Linked DNA regions of Macaca fascicularis. The protein of the gene in region 2 purifies or fractionates together with the protein of the main gene of each other region. This does not show direct contact. Links are inferred from orthologs where the notes say so. Each region holds a gene or a part of one and is shown on either strand. Other genes may lie near its edges. The genes, in order: RAB7A, PDHA1, DLAT, OGDH and DLD.

Evidence for each region.
Region 1: the proteins of PDHA1 (region 2) and RAB7A fractionate together in Homo sapiens (co-fractionation; 3 studies listed by BioGRID, with this or other methods). This does not show direct contact. The link is inferred for Macaca fascicularis from reciprocal best matches to the Homo sapiens genes PDHA1 and RAB7A.
Region 3: the proteins of PDHA1 (region 2) and DLAT fractionate together in Homo sapiens (co-fractionation; 3 studies listed by BioGRID). This does not show direct contact. The link is inferred for Macaca fascicularis from reciprocal best matches to the Homo sapiens genes PDHA1 and DLAT.
Region 4: the proteins of PDHA1 (region 2) and OGDH fractionate together in Homo sapiens (co-fractionation; 3 studies listed by BioGRID). This does not show direct contact. The link is inferred for Macaca fascicularis from reciprocal best matches to the Homo sapiens genes PDHA1 and OGDH.
Region 5: the proteins of PDHA1 (region 2) and DLD purify together in Homo sapiens (affinity purification with mass spectrometry; 4 studies listed by BioGRID and IntAct, counting the BioPlex papers as one, with this or other methods). This does not show direct contact. The link is inferred for Macaca fascicularis from reciprocal best matches to the Homo sapiens genes PDHA1 and DLD.

Annotation. Positions count from the first base shown.
Region 1 is NC_088376.1:154,694,903-154,699,184, forward strand, and holds the start of RAB7A (ras-related protein Rab-7a), read right to left. Parts: upstream 2,813-4,282; 5' UTR 2,610-2,812; intron 1-2,609.
Region 2 is NC_088395.1:19,221,779-19,225,208, reverse strand, and holds part of PDHA1 (pyruvate dehydrogenase E1 component subunit alpha, somatic form, mitochondrial), read right to left. Parts: intron 2,992-3,430; coding exon 2,899-2,991; intron 1,819-2,898; coding exon 1,663-1,818; intron 1,490-1,662; coding exon 1,418-1,489; intron 1-1,417. UniProt on the Homo sapiens protein: The pyruvate dehydrogenase complex catalyzes the overall conversion of pyruvate to acetyl-CoA and CO(2), and thereby links the glycolytic pathway to the tricarboxylic cycle.
Region 3 is NC_088388.1:110,956,280-110,960,324, forward strand, and holds the start of DLAT (dihydrolipoyllysine-residue acetyltransferase component of pyruvate dehydrogenase complex, mitochondrial), read left to right. Parts: upstream 1-1,240; 5' UTR 1,241-1,287; coding exon 1,288-1,566; intron 1,567-2,021; coding exon 2,022-2,123; intron 2,124-2,672; coding exon 2,673-2,797; intron 2,798-2,949; coding exon 2,950-3,103; intron 3,104-3,992; exon of another isoform or gene 3,993-4,045.
Region 4 is NC_088377.1:85,652,840-85,656,352, forward strand, and holds part of OGDH (2-oxoglutarate dehydrogenase complex component E1), read right to left. Parts: intron 3,391-3,513; coding exon 3,211-3,390; intron 2,794-3,210; coding exon 2,641-2,793; intron 1,154-2,640; coding exon 1,051-1,153; intron 751-1,050; coding exon 622-750; intron 286-621; coding exon 135-285; intron 1-134. UniProt on the Homo sapiens protein: 2-oxoglutarate dehydrogenase (E1o) component of the 2-oxoglutarate dehydrogenase complex (OGDHC). Participates in the first step, rate limiting for the overall conversion of 2-oxoglutarate to succinyl-CoA and CO(2) catalyzed by the whole OGDHC.
Region 5 is NC_088377.1:149,413,430-149,417,457, reverse strand, and holds the start of DLD (dihydrolipoyl dehydrogenase, mitochondrial), read right to left. Parts: upstream 2,802-4,028; 5' UTR 2,726-2,801; coding exon 2,687-2,725; intron 788-2,686; coding exon 709-787; intron 1-708. UniProt on the Homo sapiens protein: Lipoamide dehydrogenase is a component of the glycine cleavage system as well as an E3 component of three alpha-ketoacid dehydrogenase complexes (pyruvate-, alpha-ketoglutarate-, and branched-chain amino acid-dehydrogenase complex).

The DNA.
Region 1 (4,282 bases), on a different chromosome or scaffold from region 2:
TGTGGGAGATAGGGTAGCACAGCTTTTCTATGTAGAATGGTACTGAAACTATGGCCGACACAATATCAGTGCTACATTAAACTTTCTTGCCAGCTGAAGAAAAAAATCCAGTATGCCAAATGTCCAAATGTACCTTTGCTCAAAGACACTGCAGTGCAAGGTAATGGTAGTGACATGGACTACCTCTCGAGTGAACCAAAAAAATGCCACTAGAGTCGGCCGGACGCAGTGGCTCATGCCTGTAATCCCAGTACTTTGGGAGGCCAAGGCAGGCAGATCACCTGAGGTAGGGAGTTCGAGACCAGCCTGACCAACATGGAGAAACCCTGTCTCTATTAAAAATACAAAATTAGCCGGGCATGGTGGCACATGCCTGTAATCCCAGCCACTCGGGAGGCTGAGGCAGGAGAATGGCTTGAACCTGGGAGGCAGAGGTTGCAGTGAGCTGAGATCGCGCTATTGCACTCCAGCCTGGGCAACAAGAGAGAAACTCCGTGTCAAAAAATAAATAAAATAAAACAAATGCCACCAGAGCAAAAGGAGAAACAAGTTGAGTGTTGAAGGTTACTCTTTAAAAGATGTGATAAATTAGAAACTGTAATATTATCTTCTACACTCTCTGAAGAGCATACAAATGCTGTTGTTAAAATTAACAAAGCCTTAAAGTTAGCCAGAACACCATCCTTTGGATTACTACGGATTCATCAGCAGAAATGAGAAATAACTCTTTCCAAAAAGCCTCAAGTTCTACCACCAAATCATTCCACAATAGAATTTCTGGCCAAGATCATTCACCTTTTAAAAATTCCCTGAGGACAGGAACCATGCCTATCTCCCTAAGTCAACATCCCACAACGCCTGATACATTGCTGATACTCAATGGATACTCAAAATACTTCATGAATGAATAAAAAGGTGCCTATCATTACTCTCCTCTAAACTCAAACATTATATAAAGCTACAGTACTTATTACTCACTTAAATATTTTAGGCTGGGTAGCAAAGTTAAAAAAAAAATAAAAAAGACAAATTTGAATACAACAGGATTGTGAACGCTAAGCTTTAACTTAGCCAGTCCCTTCAGGAGAAGCACTCCTAACTCACCTTCCAGTTCTTAAATCCAAATCTGAACAAACCTTCCCAGGTTTGAAGAAAGAAACACACTAAGAGGAGACTTTATTAATCCATGGATGAGAAATCATGTGCCTCATCAGCTGCTTAAGTCACAAGAAAGAGACAAGAGCCTGTTCTTTAGGAAACCAAAGATGCAGTATTTTGAATAGGGAAGAACCAACTGGCTGGACAGCCATCAACTAAGGTTGTAAGAAAGGTTCGCTAGGCAGCTTTGCCAGGCCTACCTGCAAAATTTTTCAAACCTCAGTTAAGTACCCCGCCAGTATTCAAGAGCTCCTAATTCAACTACACTACAATATGTGTGATAAGCCGCAAACGGCATTTCTTATGGCTTTAAGAGAGAACTGATGCTACCAGAAAGACTTTCAAACGACATCAACAGAAAGAAAGGAGGTGGTGGAAGGCAGTGAGGTACAGATACCAGGTGGCAAAAGATAAACCACACGCTTCAGGGGCACGTGAAAGCAGTATAACCTACAAATTGAATAAAGTGCTCTGGAGTCTGACTGCCTGGGCTTGCATCTTTGCTTCGTAACTTAGCTGTGTGACCTTGGTCAAATGGTTTAGCCTCTCTGTTCAATTTCCCACTGTGTTAAGTGGGCACAACAGTGGTACTTTAGAGGGTTGTTCAAAGAACTAAACATAATGATCTGTTAAAAGGTCTTGCCACGCTGCCTAGCATATAACAAACGCTCAAATATTTGCTGTCAGTATTCTCAATATTCCCCTTATGACCCATTAGGTATCAAGCGTAAAATGAATGCAGAAAGAGGCCCCCAACACGGTCCGAATGGAAACACAACTCTACATCCAACTACCATCTTTCCCCGACTAAGTTGAAAAACTTCTCTCAGGATTTACCGTAACATGCCTAGGACAAAAAGCTCCCTGTCTTCCAGCGCCAGAGGCGCCTCAATGTACACAAGTGTTGAGGCGATCCCAGCGCACGTGACCTGACTCACGCCTTGACTCAGTTGCCGTCAGGGAACCTCTCCCACTAACAGGGTCAGGCTGTTCAACTGAAGAGCCGGATGGGAACGCGGCTCGGCCCCCAGCGCCTGTGACCCATGCCCGCCAGGTGGGCACGGCGGCGGGCGGCGTGGGCTCTGACACCCTCCTGCTCGCCACGCTAAATAACTCCACCGCCTAGCGCGTCCTGCCGCGGCGCAGGGCAGTCCAAGTCAATGAACCCTCTTGGGTCTCTGAGATCGACGCCAACAGTAAACAGAGCGTCCGAGACCGGCGGCCGGGGCCGGCAACCCGGCCAGAGGTCACGCCCGACGACCTCCGACCTCTCCAACCCGGGTGGGGTCCTGGCCTGCTTCGTGGGCCTGAGCGATGCCGAGTTTGCCCGCGAGGCCAGGGCTGGGCCTGGAGCCTGCCAGGAGGACAGGGAGGACGCGAGGCCCTGGCGACCGAGGAGTTGAGGAGGGGGATGGGGCCAGGCCGCCGGCCGGGCTGGGCCCGCTGCTTACCGCGGCCTCTGCGCTGGGGGCTCTGGGCCGGGCGCGTCGCGAGGGCTCCCGCCGAGGAGGAGACTCAACGGAGGACAGAAGAGGGGAGGTCCAAGTTCTGGTTCCAGGGAACTCTGCTGAGCTCTCCAAGCCGCCAACTCCGCCGCTGCCGCCGCCTCAGGCTTTATGGCCAAGACTCCAGGCCCGCTCCCACTTCCGCCACCGCCGCCGCCCCGAGCGGAAGTACCTGTCACGAGACGCTCGACGCCGGGGTGCGGAGGAGGAGCCCCGCCTCAACCTTGAGTCACGTTCCGGCTGCCTTGGGACAGAGCCTGGATCACGTGCTACAAACATGTCTGCTCCCAAACGGTTGTCCCCATCTTTGAGGCTTGTACAAGGAGCAGGACGGCGCCATGTTGGACCCACAGACAGATTCCCTCAGCCATCCCTCCTTGCTCCAGAATAAAGAATGCCACCGAAGAGAGGTCAAGGGGTAAACTGGCCATTCCAATTGTGTCCTTCTTCGGAAGGCATCATTTATCCTTACTTTAACTACCTAACCAAAAATTATTATCACCATTTTACAAATAAGGAACTGAGACCGAACATATCAGGTCACTTGGTCTAGCTCAACACAGAAACTGGTGGAGCCGGGTTTTGAACCAAGGTCTGTCTGATGCCAATGTGTGTTATCGTTCTAGTAGACTGCAAATGACTACAGCAATTGTGTGACTCAGTAATAGAGACAGGAGAAATAGACACTTTGGCAGAGGAGACAGCACGAGAAAATGGAAAATGAGCTAAAGCCTCTCTGAACTTAGTATTAAAGAAGATGTGATAAAGATGGACCTGGTAGAACTCTTCTTGTAAGCACAGAGCAGCCTCCCAAGCACCAGCCCCATCTGAACACATCAGGATCCACTCAGAACTTTTGTCTCCATCTTTAACAATGCCCTCTAATAGTCTTTTCTTATTTGGTTCATGCAAACTCCATTCTTTCAATTGTTCCATCCAAAAACCTTGCAATTGTTACAGTAAGTAAGTAGTTAGACCTGAGCAGGGCAGGAGTGGGGCCACTCCCCCACCAGCAATGTGAGGCAACCATGACGTGGTGGTCAGATTAAGCTATCTCTCTAAAATAATAATTGGTTGCAGTCAGAACCAGGGAAAGAGTCTCCCAATAGATAAAAACACCTAAAACTGGTGATCAGCAGCTTCCCATTGAGATCTCAGAAGTTGAGGGGTCTGGGGAAAAAAAAAAAAAAAAAAAAAACCTCAAAATCTAGGCAAGCAGTCCTAACCCTGAGATGGCACAATGTCTGGGGTTTCCCCTACTTTTTCAGCTAAAATTGGCTCTTTCCGCAAAACCCTCGCTACCTATTCTCCTGTTTTCTCTATGTGTATTCTGAAATGGCCTTGCACACTGCAGGACCATCAGCTTCTGGGGTAAGTCTACTTTTCTCTGCTTTCACTTTGCATGTGCCCAGGAGTTCGAGACCAGCTTGGGCAACATAACAAGACTGTCTCTTCCAAGATAAATAAAAAAGAAAGGAGAAGGCACACATCTACATCAGACTTTTGCAGTTGTACTTCTCTCTACCTGGAAAGCTCTTCCTCCAGGTATCTGCTTGGCCACTCGCTCACTTTCCTCTGGTCTTGACTTTAAAGTGACTTTTTCAGTGAAATAGCCTTCC
Region 2 (3,430 bases):
CCACTGCACTCCAGCCTGGGGGACAGAGCGAGACTCTGTCTCAAAAAAAAAAAAAAAAAAAAAAAAAGGCTTTGAGCATGTTCTAGAGCCTCCTGCTATTGGCTAGGCAGATTTCCATCTCATGCTCCTTTCTCGTAGTGTGTTGTGGGGCTGGCAGCCACTTCTACTTCACAGATCCTGCTAGTGTGTAACAAAGTTGACAGGCACCAACAACCTCTGCTACCCAAACCCTGAGGCTCTGCTGGGAGTATGACCACTTGGGGTCTATCACCAAGTGGCTTGCTCATTCTACACTAGCCCACTTCCAGGAGATGGCTCTGAACACTGAGGGATGGGGAAACATTGAGGATCCTTGATTGGTTTGGTGCAGTAGTTAAAACGGGCGAGTGGGGAGCTGGCTCCATGATAAGAGTAGCTATGTACCTTTAACTGCTCTGTGGCTCAGTTTCCTTGTCTGCAAAATGGGCAAAACAGTAACACCTAACTCAGAATTGTGAAGGTTATGTGTTTGGGAAGTCATACATTCTACAAATCACCATGTCTCCAGCCAGGGCTGGCCCGCATGTATTCTTTTCAGGAATTGGGAGAGGTGGGGTCAATATCCATCACTCAGGGCCTGGCACTCCCAGCCTTAGGGTCCTGACAGACTGCTCAGCCCATTGTATCCAAGCTGTCATCTTGGTCCTGCTCTAGTTCATTCTACTCATTAGCTCTTATTTAATGTTACTACATCCCACCCTTACTTCCCTGTCTCCCCACTTTCTGACATTTGCATCACTGCCCAAACATACATGGTATGGCACTGAAGTGACAACTTCAGAAACCTTGTGTCTGGGCTGTGGAACACTAATTTAGGGAGAACACCCAAACCTCCTAAGCCTATACTAGTGCTGAAGGAACTGAAACCTCTTTAGGCCAGTCTCCCTGTTACCATCTCCCTCACTGCCATACACTGAAGGGAAAGATCCTTAGGACTGAGCAAGACTAAGATTACAAGCTTCAACCATACTGTTTGTGTAAGACACACACATTAAATGCCTATTGTATACATGACATTCTATGCTGGACACTACGGGGATCCCCAATCTGTTCCTTCAAGGGACTCATGATTAATGGGGGGTGGGGAGGAGGGACAGAATTAACCTAACAAAAAGGCAGTGTAGTTGTCATGATGAAGACAGGCGAAAGCAGAGGAAGCACCAGGACAGACTTCCCCCAAATGAGAGAAATGTGGGCTTCCCAGCAGGTGAGCTACCAAGACCAAGCTACCCAAAGGAGCCCTGCTTGCTTCACTCTGCTTCCATCTTGTGCACCTCAATTATCAGCTACCCACTAACAGCTTCAGCAGGCACACGGGAGGCAGTCTTTGAACTTCCAGAGATAAATGTCATTAGCCCAGAGGCCTTTAGAGTCTTACCTTCCCAGATCTACAATAGGCGGCAGCAAACCTTGTCGCCTCTCGGACGCACAAGATATCCATTCCATCCACCTGTTAATAAACGGGAGGGGCGAAGCATGAATCCAGCTGCCCCAAACCATTTTACTTTCACATCACCTGCTTATGTTTGAGAACGAAACTCTTCAATGTTTCTAAGATTGTCAAGGGTCTGCACAAGGACATACCCCTGGCCTTGGCCCCGGCCCCACCACAGGTGTCCTTACTCTCAGCCCAGGAATGAAATCGCCTCTCTTGTAGTAATCAGTGCTGGCTGCTGCTCTCTCAACAGATGTTCCCATTCCATAGCGATTATTCTCACAGATGAAAATACAAGGTAATTTCCACAAAGCTGCCATGTTGTAAGCTTCAAATATCTGGCCCTGGAAGTAGTTATGAAAAGGGGTTTCATTTGGCTTCTTTCTCTAGGATCCATCATCTGTAACAGCTGCTGCTCTGCCTGGCACAGAAAGCTTTCATAAAGCACAGAAAGCCTCCTCTTCTAAAACCGAGCTTTGGGCTGGGCACGGTGGCTCAGCCATGTAATCCCAGCACTTTGGGAGGCCGAGGAGGGTGGATCACGAGGTCAGCAGATCAAGACCGTCCTGGCTAACACGGTGAAACCCCGTCTCTACTAAAAATACAAAGTAGCCGGGCATGGTGGCAGGCGCCTGTAGTCCCAGCTACTTGGGAGGCTGAGGCAGGAGAATGGCGTGAACCCGGGAGGCAGAGCTTGCAGTGAGTGGAGATCGTGCCACTGCGCTCCAGCCTGGGCAACAGAGCAAGACTCTCTCTCAAAAACAAAACAAAAAAAACAACCAAAAAACCGAGCTTTGGATGGTGAGGGAAAGCGGGGTGGGTGACAGATAAGAAGCAGCAGGCATCATACTCTTGCAACTAAGAAAGATGACAAACCAACTACTACTTGTTTCTTTGGGGCCATGCTAGCAGTAAGGAACACACTGGAAAAAAGATCAGTATGAAATCTATCGGGCCCACTGGATAGTCAGAGTGAACCAGCACCTAAGAATCAGCCTCTAGAACAGGGCTTCACAGAGTACCGGCCACAGACTGGGTATTACTCGGTACCAAAAGAAGCACAAAAAGAAGCACAAAAACTGAATTAGGACTGAGACGCTATTACCCGAATTTGACACTGCCAGCGCGGACATCCAAGAGAATGGGTCTGTATCATTTTGCAATAGGTTAGGGGAGGTCCTTTATCAAGCACTGATATAGAGCAAAGGTGAGCTCCTTCACAGGAATGCGCCCCCCTAAGTCTTTTGTGAAACAATGCTAAAAGGTCACTCTCTAATCTGGCCATAAGTCAACCAAATTTGAGCTAGCCATAGGAATTACTATTTCACCTAATAAGCAATAAGCTGCTGCTTTGGAAATTCAACTGTGAATATTAAACACTTTGAAAATAAGACCGTTATTGGAAAGTTAAGAGACATAATTACCTGGTTAGCAGCACCATCGCCATATAAAGTCAGGCAGACCTCATCTTTTCCATTATACTTACAGGCTAGAGCAATCCCAGCGCCCAGGGGCACCTAACATTAAGGACAACCGAGAAAGGAACCATAGAAATCCATGAGGGGAGATATCAATGCCCTGCATTTTAACTCCTGGTCAGAATCTGGCACAGAAATTACACTGCTGCTACAAACTCTCCTTCCAACCCCATCTCTCTGTTTATCCCACCCCCGATATTTTCAATGAAGCAGTAAAGTAATATATAAATACTATGTTCTATTTTAACCAGTAAGCAATAACATTTCTGCATTCAAGAGTTAAAAAATAAAACGTGGCCGGGCATGGTGGCTCACGCCTGTAATCCCAGCACTTTGGGCAGATCATGAGGTCAAGAGATCGAGACCATCCTGGACAAGATGGTGAAACCCTGCCTCTACTAAAAATACAAAAAATGGCTGGGCACGGTGGCGCTTAACTGTAGTCCCAGCTACTTAGGAGGCTGAGGCAGGAGAATTG
Region 3 (4,045 bases), on a different chromosome or scaffold from region 2:
TTGGGCTCAAGCGATTCCCCAACCTCAGCCTCTCAAGTATTGCTGGGACTACAGGCATGCACCACCGCTCCTGGCTAAAATCTTGTTTTAAACAATTTTTTCCTCCAACTTCTTCTTGTGTTCTTGGTGTTCTCTAACCATCTGTACACTGGGGAGGCGGTGATACACAGCATATGCTTCCTCCTTATTTAATGTCACCTTCAGTTCAGAAACGATATGTTTCCTATTTAAAAGACAACTTTACAAGAGAAGCGTACCTAACAAAACGTCTAGGTGACTTTTTGTTCATTGATTCCAAAGACACAATCAGCCCCCGCTATTTAGTGGATACTAAGCTCTGAGGCTACATGGAAGAACCACGCAGGCACTCTTCCTGCCTTCAACAGCTTACAGTTAAGTTTAGGTAGCAAACATTTGAAACATAACGAAGCTTTTGGTTACTTAAAAGAATTCTATGGTGTTAGGGGGTAACACAAACCTGTTTTGTAAACCTGTATCTTTATACAGGGAATATGCTTAATCTTGCTACAGTATACAGGAATGTGGGAATGTTTCTTCCTCTGGGCTGCCTTTCGTACCACCTGGCTGGATGGAACACCTGTTCACTCCACTTTCCACTTGGGCTACAAACCTGAAATGAAATCTTTGCAACCAGTACAGCCTGCGCGGGGCGGGGCCCAGTCCTTCCCCCTTCGGATGCGCAGAAGCAGAGGTCACCACGCTGGACCCCTCGATTTCCTCGCGGGCGGTTCCCGGCTCCTTCACCACCCCAGCGCTTCAAGACCCCCGCCCTTTGGCCTGAGGCTCCCACTGCCCTAGCCAGTTCCCGGGCTCACTTCCAGCTTTTCCAGAAAGCTTGGCCACGCCCCTCGGCCCAGACTCTCAGGCCACTCGGCCGCAATTAACCCTCGTCTCGGTGCCTTTTTAGGCCCCTCCCTCTCAGTCGTGCCCTTCCCGTGTCTTAGGCCCCGTCTCACCCTTTCGGATGCCTCCCCTAGGACCCTACCACTTTCCACCCCTTTCCGTCTGTTATTTGTCCCCAACTTGCGCCCGCACAGGCCCCTCTGGAACGCCCCTGCCGCGTGAGTGCCCCTCGTCCCCGCTCAGGGGAGGAAAAGCCTGCGTGCCGCGCATTTCTGGCCTGGGGAGCGGGTGGAGTAAACCTGCGGGAACCATTTTACGACAACGTGCGGCTGTGCGGCGTGGCTGACGGCAAAGCCGCGCTGCTGTTGGAGAGGTCACTCCGGAGACGGCGTTGGTGTTGGGGTGTGGGGGGTTGGTGGCACTATGTGGCGCGTCTGTGCGCGACGGGCCCAGAATGTAGCCCCATGGGCGGGACTCGAGGCTCGGTGGACGGCCTTGCAGGAGGTACCCGGAACTCCACGAGTGTCCTCGCGAATTGGCCCGGCTCCGGCTCGTCGCAACAGCGCGACTACAGGGTATGGAGGGGTCCGGGCACTGTGCGGCTGGACCCCCAGCTCTGGGGCCACGCCGCGGAACCGCCTACTGCTGCAGCTTTTGGGGTCGCCCGGCCGCCGCTGTTACAGTCTTCCCCCGCATCAGAAGGTGAGCCCTAGACCCGCCCTTCTCGGATCTCCGTTGTCCTTCAGAGCTGACTGGATGCCTGCAGGATCCTCCTTGAGAGGCCTCATTGATCCTCCAACCATTCCCAGTATCTGCTTTCGTCCTTTGTCCAGTAGTCAGCTTTGGTTCCTTAGCTTCCCTCTCATGATCTATTCCGTTGAAACTATTCCGTTGAAAGGGGAACTTCAAGACTGGGGCTGTATGCAATTATCTGCCGAGGTTCATGCTTTGTGAGACCCGTAGGACTGTGGAGCAGAAAGCCTGTCACTGGAAATTACTAACTTCTCATGGGCAGAAACTGCCTTGGTATCCCTAGTTCCCAGTGTGTAATGGAACTGGATACACTTTGCATGAAATTGAATTGAATGAAATCTTAAGCCAGACTGAGAGTTAGGTAGCCCTTTAAAAATTTAATGTTTCTTCTTTTTCTCTTCCAGGTTCCATTGCCTTCTCTTTCCCCCACAATGCAGGCAGGCACTATAGCCCGTTGGGAAAAAAAAGAGGGGGACAAAATCAACGAAGGTGACCTAATTGCAGAAGTAAGTTGTTTTAAAATAACGGAGATGAGTTCGAAGAGACTGGCTTTGCCGAATTGACTGAACATTGACTTTCTGGATGTGTAGTTACCCCTTTGTTTAAGAAACTGAAGTGTTTTTCACAACTTGATGTTAGACAAGATTGGTTGGATAAGTTGCCAGCAGCTGGCCAAACTGATACTTAGCCAACGCGTTTCTAAAGTAATTTCTTCTTTCAAATCTGTCGTAGTGGCCTTATCGTCACATGAACTGTATCATTCTAGACACAGAGGCCAAGCTGGCCAACATGGTGAAACCCCGTCTCTGCTAAAAATACAAAAATCTGCTGGGCATGGCGGCCTCTGCCTGTAATCCTAGCTACTCGGTAGACTGAGGCAGGAGAATCGCTTGAACGTGGGAAGGGGAGGTTGCAGTGAGCCGAGATTGCACCACTGCACTGCAGCCTTGGCGACAGAGTGAGACTCTGTCTCAAGAAAAAAAAAATTCTAGACACAAGCTAATAAACTACATACCGACAGTATAAAGCTGAGCTGCTGCTTTTTGTGTTAAAAGGTTGAAACTGATAAAGCCACTGTTGGATTTGAGAGCCTGGAGGAGTGTTATATGGCAAAGATACTTGTTGCTGAAGGTACCAGGGATGTTCCCATTGGAGCGATCATCTGTATCACAGTTGGCAAGTGAGTAGTGCACTCATAATTTATGGAACTTCATTGCTTGGTGGAGTATTTTACCCAGAATTGAGAATTAGGAGTTAAAGACTATTTTTTAAGACTACTTTTGTGAAAGTTGAATCTGCCCATTATATTTATGCATTCTTTCTCTTCCTTAGGCCTGAAGATATTGAGGCTTTTAAAAATTATACATTGGATTCCTCGCCAGCACCTACCCCACAGGCGGCCCCAGCACCAACCCCTGCTGCCACTGCTTCGCCACCTATACCTTCTGCTCAGGCTCCTGGTAGCTCATATCCCCCTCACATGCAGGTGAGGCTCAGCCTTTGAGTGTTTGCTCTAGGTGATTTATTACTTACTTTTTTTCATAGATGGCTACTACATCTTGGAAACTGACTTTAAATGTGGTTAGTTAGGTCTTGTCATTTGGGAGTATATAGAAATTTAAACATGAAGATTGACAACTTTTCTTCCTGGTTGTTCTTTCCAGTTATAAGAACTTGAACAGTTCCTGTAACCTTTCTCAGCCTCAGTGTAGTACACAGGGTAATTCGTGGCACTTTTCATTCAAGAACATTACATTACAGATTTTGAGGATGATTTTTACTAACATCTATTCCCTGTATAATTAGAGTTTATAGTAGGCTGTGTTAGTCTGTTTTACTCTGGCATAAAGAAATACTTAGGGCTGGGTAATTTGTAAAGAAAAAAAGGTTTATTTGGCTCATGGTTCTGCAGGCTGTACAAGAAGCACGGCGCCAGCATCTGTTTCTCTTGTGGCCTCAGGAAGCTTACAATCATGGTGGAAGGTGGAAGGGAAAGGGGAAGGGTGGTGTGTCACATAATGAGAGAGGGTGCAAGAGACAGAGGGGAGTGGGTACCAGGCTCTTCATAGCAATCAGATTTCCCCTTAACTCATTACCATGGGGCATGCACCAAGCCATTCATGAGGGATCCTCCTCCAACACCCAGACACCTCCCACCAGACCCCATCTCTAACACTGGGGATCATATTTTTTTTTCCACCTAGAAAAAAACTTTATTTACACAATCTTGGATTCTGAATTTCCGATACTTCCAGGGTCTCTTGATCAAATGGGGCCGCAGCAGGTAGGGAAGCAAACACAGGGGCCAGTCCAGATTATCTTACTGAAGAACACCACCAAGAAGAAGGGAAGGCCTAATTCAGTTTTGGTCTGGACTACATCTCCTCGCACTTTGAGATCACCACAGGTAGCTTGGGCTTATTGTTAG
Region 4 (3,513 bases), on a different chromosome or scaffold from region 2:
CAGCAAATGAGGGAGAGGTTTTCAGCCTGACAGCAATGGGACTCAGTAACTGCCTTCTGAAAAAGAAACACCAGAACCCCTCCCTTTGCATTTCCTACTCTTTGGAGGGCAAACAAAACTGCCCAGAACGTTACCTGAATGTGCCCCGCTCCACGTCCTGGCCGCTCAGTCGGATGTGGATACCCTCCTTCAGGAGCGAGCCAAACGCCATGTACTCTGCCAGAGCCCAGTCCACAGTCCGGTTCTTCACCATTTCCCCACGAGTCTTCAAGATCCGGCTCAGCCCTGCAGAGAGACAGCTCTCACCAGCTGCTGCAGGCCCTGCCTGCACATGTCTGCCTTGCTTCTCAGTGTGCCCATGGCAAGAGTGGAGCCTTCTTCACTCATAGTTTCTGGGTTCCTGACATGCTGGAAAAGCTGTGACCTCAGTCTCCTTTACCACTGAGGAAGTGTAGGATGGTGCTAAGGGCAGGGAGTGAGAGAGGTGGCTCCATCCAACCACCCCAGAGGCTTGGAGCAGGGCAGGAAGGGAGTCTCTGTAGGACACATGATGGGGGTCAAGGTCACAGTACTAGACAGTCTGGGCCCAACATTTCCACAGGTCAGCACAGAGCTTGTTACCTCCATGAATAGTAAAGTTTTCCACAGGCACAGAGCTAGCCACGTTCCCGATGTGTGTCAGAATATCCTCCGTCAGACCCGTGGAGGGGCAGGACATGCTCCTGGGCTGCCCGTCCAGGGTGAAGAAGCCTAGGAGAGGAAGAACAACTGAGGCATGACATCTGCTCTACTTTTCCAGGGACCACACCATGGCAGACACATGATGTGGGGGAGAAGCAGGGTGAGAGACAATGTAGCTCACACTGTGTTCCCCAGAAAACATGAGTGCAGGGGTCTGGGTCCAGGGTCTGCAGGGGTTTGGCTGAAATGGTGCACACAACTGTGCACTGTGGGTACAAAGTGGAAAGCATGAATGTTTTCCGGGAGGAGGATGCCTCGTTACATCAGATCCTCAAAGGAGCTTATTTGTGGCACTGGTTCTTCACTCACCAGGCCAAGGAGAGTCCAGCCAGTGCTTAATGTGCAAGATCTTCTCATCTTTAGATCTGGCAAAAGCTTCCTCACAGATCTTATCATACTTGGAAATTTCCTCCTGCAGGGTTGGACACAACACAGCAGTGACTGGCACAGGGCATGACTACTGCACACGCCCACCCGTACCCCCACACTTTCTGACAGCCACCATGCAAGCCCAACCATACCCTGGCACAACTCCCATGCATGCCCACCCATACCCCCACACTTCGTGGGTACGAAACATCTCAGCCTCTGGGCCTGCTCCTTCTCAATAGGCATAACACCTGTCTAAGATTTTATTCTTTTCATCCCAGAAGTTTCTTCCTCACATTTGCTGGGTAGAGATTCTGCTCAGAGTTTGAACCCCTAACCCTTCACATTTTTTTTGTCTTTTTTTTGGTGACGGAGTCTTGCTCTGTCACCAGGCTGGAGCGCAGTGGCACGATCTTGCTTCACTGCAACCTCCACCTCCCGGGTTCAAGCGATTCTCCTGCCTCAGCCTCCCAAGTAGCTGGGACTACAAGTGCATGCCACCATGCCCAGCTCATTTTTGCATTTTTAGTAAAGATGGGGTTTCACCATGTTGGCCAGGATGGTCTTGATCTCTTGACCTCGTGATCCACCTGCCTCAGCCTCCCAAAGTGCTGCAATTACAGGCGTGAGCCACCACGCCCAGCCCACCACATTTTTTCTTAAGAACTGGTCCAGGTCAGGCGCAGTGGCTCATACCTATAATCCCAGCACTTTGGGAGGCCAAGACAGGTGGATCACTTGAGGTCAGGAGTTCGAGACCAGCCTGGCCAACGTGGGGAAACCCTGTTTCTACTAAAAATACACAAACTAGCTGGGTGAGGTGGTTTGCACCTGTAATCCCAGCTACTTGGGATGCTGAGGCATGAAAATTGCTTGAACCAAGGAGGTGGAGGTTGCAGTGAGCTGAGATCACACCACTGCACTCCAGCATGGGTGACAAGGCTAGACTCTGTCTCAAAAAAAAAAAAAAAAAAAGAACTGGTTGAGCTCTCATGGTTCCCAGCACAGTCCCAAGGAGGTTTGGGCCACAAAGCTCTGTCTCCAGGATAGGCTACAGGTTATCAGGTTGTTCTGACCTGGGATCTGTCCTGTTCCCATGCTCAGACATAGCTTCTCACACCCATCCTCTCCCTCTCTAGGGCAGCTGCTTGGCCTTCCCACTCACAACAAACCAGCACTTACTATCCAGATTACAAGAGGCCCCTTACTAAGCTGGATCCACCACCTACCTCCCACCCCTGCACGATCTGTGAAATCTGAGAAAACCTACTGGGCCACTACTACCTCAACCTGAAAACATCCCCTTCTCTTCCCCAAAACACTGTTTAAGGCCCACTTCCTTTACAAAGCATCTCAGTGGCCCAGATTCTCCAAAAAGTTATGCATTGAAATGCTGTAGTTGTAAATATTTCACATCCTCTCACGTGTATCCTCATAACTTGCAACAGTGAGAACTGGCCCTGTGGCCCACCTTTTCTAGTCATCCCCGGCTCTGGAAAGGCGCACTGGGACAGAGCCGCAGGGACATACCTCATACTCGGGCTGGTTGACCACACCCTGCGACACCAGCAGCTCGGCGTACTTCTGTAACACGGGCTTCTGCTTGCGGATCTGCTTGTACATGAGCGGCTGCGTGAACATGGGCTCATCCATCTCGTTGTGGCCGTTGCGCCGGTAACACACCTGCTCAGAGCAGTGAGAGGATGTCAGAGACAAGGGGTGGCCCCTTGGGAAGAAGTGCGGTTGGGGAACCTACCCCATCTCTCCTAGGTGATGGTCATGTTCTTCACGCCTCACACCTGCCCTGGAATTTACCTTCTCTAGAATTAGGATTCTGTGTATCTCTCCTACACAGTACAGCTGCTCTATCAGTGAGGAATGGTCCTCCTCACCACCACAGCTCCTGCCTGGGAAGCATTCCTTGGTGCTCACAGGCCTGAACAATTTGGAGCTCAAAGGAACCTGCATGAGGCCTGGCAGTAGAGAGCCCTGAGGTGACTCATCTAAACAAGCTCCTCTCCTTGGGACACAAGGGTGCCGAGGGCAACAGGGGTGGGTCAGATGATCTGCCCAGGACGTGCTGTCCCTGGAGTCACTCACCAAATCGACGACCACGTCCTTGTGGAAGGTGCTCCTCCACTCGGCCGCCACTTTGCACACGTACATGACAGCCTCGGGGTCATCTGAGTTCACGTGGAAAATAGGAGCATTCACCACTCGGGCCACATCGGTGGGGTAGGGGGAGGAGCGGGCCATCCGAGGGTCGGTGGTGAAGCCGATCTGCAAGGAACATGTAGCCTAGCAAGAGGGCACCTGGCACAGCCGGCACAGGGACCAGAAGGTGGGGCCGAGGCCCGGCATGGCGTGCACTTGCCGCCTGGCTACTCTGAGTATGTGCCCCAA
Region 5 (4,028 bases), on a different chromosome or scaffold from region 2:
TGGGACCAGGTGGTTGTTAGTTTTTGGTCTGTGAGTGTTAGTAGTGTGATGTTTAATGAGCCTGTGTTGTTGTAGGTGTGACTTAGTATGATGAGTAGGGGTAGAGAGCCAGTTAGTGTGTAGAATAGAAAGTATGTGCTTGCGTTAAGGCGTTTTGCTTGGCTACCTCATTTAGTAATGATAATTAGGGTGGGGATAAGGGTGGTTTCAAATAGAATGTAGAATATAATTAGTTCTGTGGTCATGAATGTCAGAATTAAGGTGATTTGCAGGAGAATTGTTGTGAAGAGGAAAAGTTTTTTTTGTGAGGGGGGTTCGTTGCATAGGTGATATTGGCTTGCTGTAAAGCAAGGATCCAGCCCAGACATCATCTCCTCAAAAAGGCCTTTCCTGACACTGTATCTAAAATTATCTCTCTTTCTCCCTATCACCTGCTTTAATTGTCAGTTACTTCCCAAAATATTTATCCGTTACTTATATATTGTCTGTCTTTTATCACCAAATTACAAGTTTCACAAGAGCAGGGTTTTACCTTGTTCACCGCCTGGAACACACTAGCTCAACACACATTCAAACGAATAAATACATAAACAAATGAACTATAAGACACTTAACATAAGTTATTCCAATATTCACTTACTTTTACATAGAAACAAAAATGAACTGTCAACTAACGTGATGAAAAAAATGTTTTACTTAAGTACTTACTCAGCTGATCTGCGTAAGTTCTCAGAGGCACTGCAGAAAGTCCCTGTAGGCCATGAGATATTCGATTGAAATGGCCCCTCTAGAAAAAGAAAATGTTCCTACTATGTAAGATATGAATTCAAAACATAGAACTACTTAAGGCTGATGAAAACAGAACAATTTTTGGCAAATGTATCAAGCAAGGATTATTAGTGTATCTTCTTCCATTGCCACACAGAAGTTACAGATCAATTTTCCCTCTTTGACGATAACTCTTTGACGATAACTAATCATTTGAACTTTTCAGTCTCAGCTTGCCACACCCATCTTTTTATTATGAATAGTCAACAAACCATCTCATACTTAATTTTAAAAATGTATTCAATGGTATTTTTATTCAATTTTCAGAAAACATGGCTAATTATTAGTTCCAGGGATCATTTTAATGTCATAAAGCTCTGAGCCAGCCGTGGTGGCTCACGCCTGTAATCTCAACACTTTGGGAGGCTGAAGTGGGCGGATCACCTGAGGTCAGGAGTTCCAGACCAGCCTGGCCAACATGGTGAAGCCCCGTCTCTACTAAAAATACAAGAGAATTTGCCAGGTATAGAGGCGGGCGCCTGTAATCCCAGCTACTCGGGAGGCTGAGGCAGGAGAATCGCTTGAACCCGGGAGGCGGAGGATGCAGTAAGCCGAGATCGCACCACTGCACTCTAGCCTGGACGTCAGAGTGAGACTCCGTCTCAAAATAAATAAATGAATAAAGCTCTGGAAGTTCTAACTTAAATACTTGAATAATCTATACATGATAATCCTTTTACCTGTAATTTTTGTTTCCTAACTTTAAGCCAGCATGTATATATAGTCCATATTTACTTAGAACCATCTATGAAGATGTTCCTGAGCCATCAACTAGGAATAGCAAATTAGACAAGGTAACTTAGGAAAATGCAAAGTAGTGTACTTACGTTCTGGAGCTACGACAGTTTGATAAAACTCATCATCTCCCTAATCTCTATATATGGATGGCTACCATTTCCTAAGGGCAATGAGGCAGAAAGAAAGAAAGCAAACAGTCCCTGCTTCTATCACAGTAGGAAAATGGGCAGCAGTGACAAAACTACTCCAAGGCAACTCTTAACACTTGAGGTCAGGACAGCAAACCCAAAGAGCAGCCGATTGTCAATCTTAGAGTTTTAGTCCCACCTCCGCCGCTCCCTAAAAGCATGACTTATAGAATGTTACATTAATTTTTGGGAACGCAGGTTCCTCATCTCTGAAACAAAGGGGTTTGATTGCTATATTATTTTTGAGGTCTCCACCAATATAGTACCCGGCCACGGTCTCACATACACACAATTTGGCTGTGTCTGGCAGGCAGGTTAAAAAGGAAAGTTGTTCTGATAACCTACTGCAATTAAAGATTTAAATATCCAGAAAGACCTGAGAGATGGCAATGAACACCAGCTGAAAGCTGCCAACACTGACAAGACCTTAGGGGAATTCCGAGGGCTTTCTGTTGGAGCTGACTGGGTCTGAACCATTCAAGAAGTGACCCCAGGGTTACCTGCCCACTGCATAAAATGAGGCCACTCAGGGGTCAGAATTAGGATGAGAAAAAGGCAGAGGGTATAAAGAGCCAGACTATACGGGACGTGGGTGGCTTACACTTCCTCCAAGGTAGAGGCCTCTGTGTGACCGGGATGGCCCTCGGCCCAGGCTTGGGGGTGTGGCATGTGTAACCGCCGGCCGTCACACAACCTGAAAGGACTCGCCACAGCCTGGGCCCAGGCCCGTCCCTCGCCTGCTGCCGCCGCAGGAGAAGCTGCTACCTCGGAGCCTAGGGCCGGGCTGAGCCGGTGCAGAGGCGGGGCCAGGGGTGGTGAGGGACAGGCGCCTGGGCTCCGCCAGGCCAACGGGCTTAGGCCGCGTCCCGGACCCACAGAGCGGGACCTTCCGTGCCTCTGGCTCAGCACGACCCCACCTACTCGGCCCTCACCTTGGCCAAGGAGCAGTACACACGACTCCAGCTCTGCATTCTTCCGCTGTATCTTCCCTTCCGCCAATGCTTTCACCTCCGCTGGGCGCCTCCGCCGCCTCACCAAGGTCTCCCCGCCCTGCGCATGCACAGGCGCAGTTACGTTTTCGCCCGGGAGCCGCGCGATTGGCCCGCGCGGTTCTACCGTAAGAGGTGTTCCTGTCAGGCTAGGCGTCGTACGCTGTCGTAAGGAGCGTAGTGCTTTGTCGCAGCGGGGGTGGTGGTGGGAAAGACTTAGGGGCGGTGTCAAAATGTCGAGCTACAATGTATTCTTATACTTGGAAGATGAAATAAACAAATAAAACTATCGTTTGCCTAATGCACGCTACAGACAGTAAAGCGTGACAAGTTTGACAAGCTCTTGGTTGTGCTAGGCATTCCTCCGCACTTTCTACAGAGATTTCATCCTTGCAACAACCATATGGAGTATTGCTAGTATTTCCATTTCTTGGATGAGGCCCAGAGAGGTTAAACATTGACCCCAAGGTCTTGAAAAGGAGAGATAACTGCAGCCCCAAGGCCAAAACCTTTGGTCTTAACTACTGCTTTATACTCGCTCCCCTCAAGTGCCATATAAGGGATGGGGCTACAGATTTTGGCATCGCCAGCATCCTGCTCTAATTAGCTAACTGACAATAGGTAGAAAACACACTATCTTCTATTTCTTTGGTTGAGAAACACATCTGCCCGGTAAAACAGAGTGGGATGGTGGATGAGATTTTAGGTTTTGAGAGATAATCGGTTGAAAGGGTTGAAAAACACTCTCTTCGGCCGGGCGCGGTGGCTCAAGCCTGTAATCCCAGCGCTTTGGGAGGCCGAGACGGGTGGATCACGAGGTCAGGAGATCCAGACCATCCTGGCTAACACGGTGAAACCCCGTCTCTATTAAGAAATACAAAAAAAACTAGCCGGGCGAGGTGGCGGGCACCTGTAGTCCCAGCTACTCGGGAGGCTGAGGCCGGAGAATGGCGTGAACCCGGGAGGCGGAGCTTGCAGTGAGCTGAGATCCGGCCACTGCACTCCAGCCTGGGTGACAGAGCGAGACTCCGTCTCAAAAAAAAAAAAAAAAAAAAAGAAAAACACTGTCTTCAAGATTGAGCATGAAAGTCTAAGGTCTGATTCTTGCCTTCCATAACTCTAAATAGTGTGAATAAACTTAATTCTACATTTATTGAAAGTCTACCACCCAGGCCTTGTGCTGGTCTAAACACTGGTTAGAAATTACTGCCTATTTTTGTTCAGGTTTAGATATGAGTAATATTTAGTGTTTGTTATAGAGACGGCATTGCTGGCAGCTCTGTCC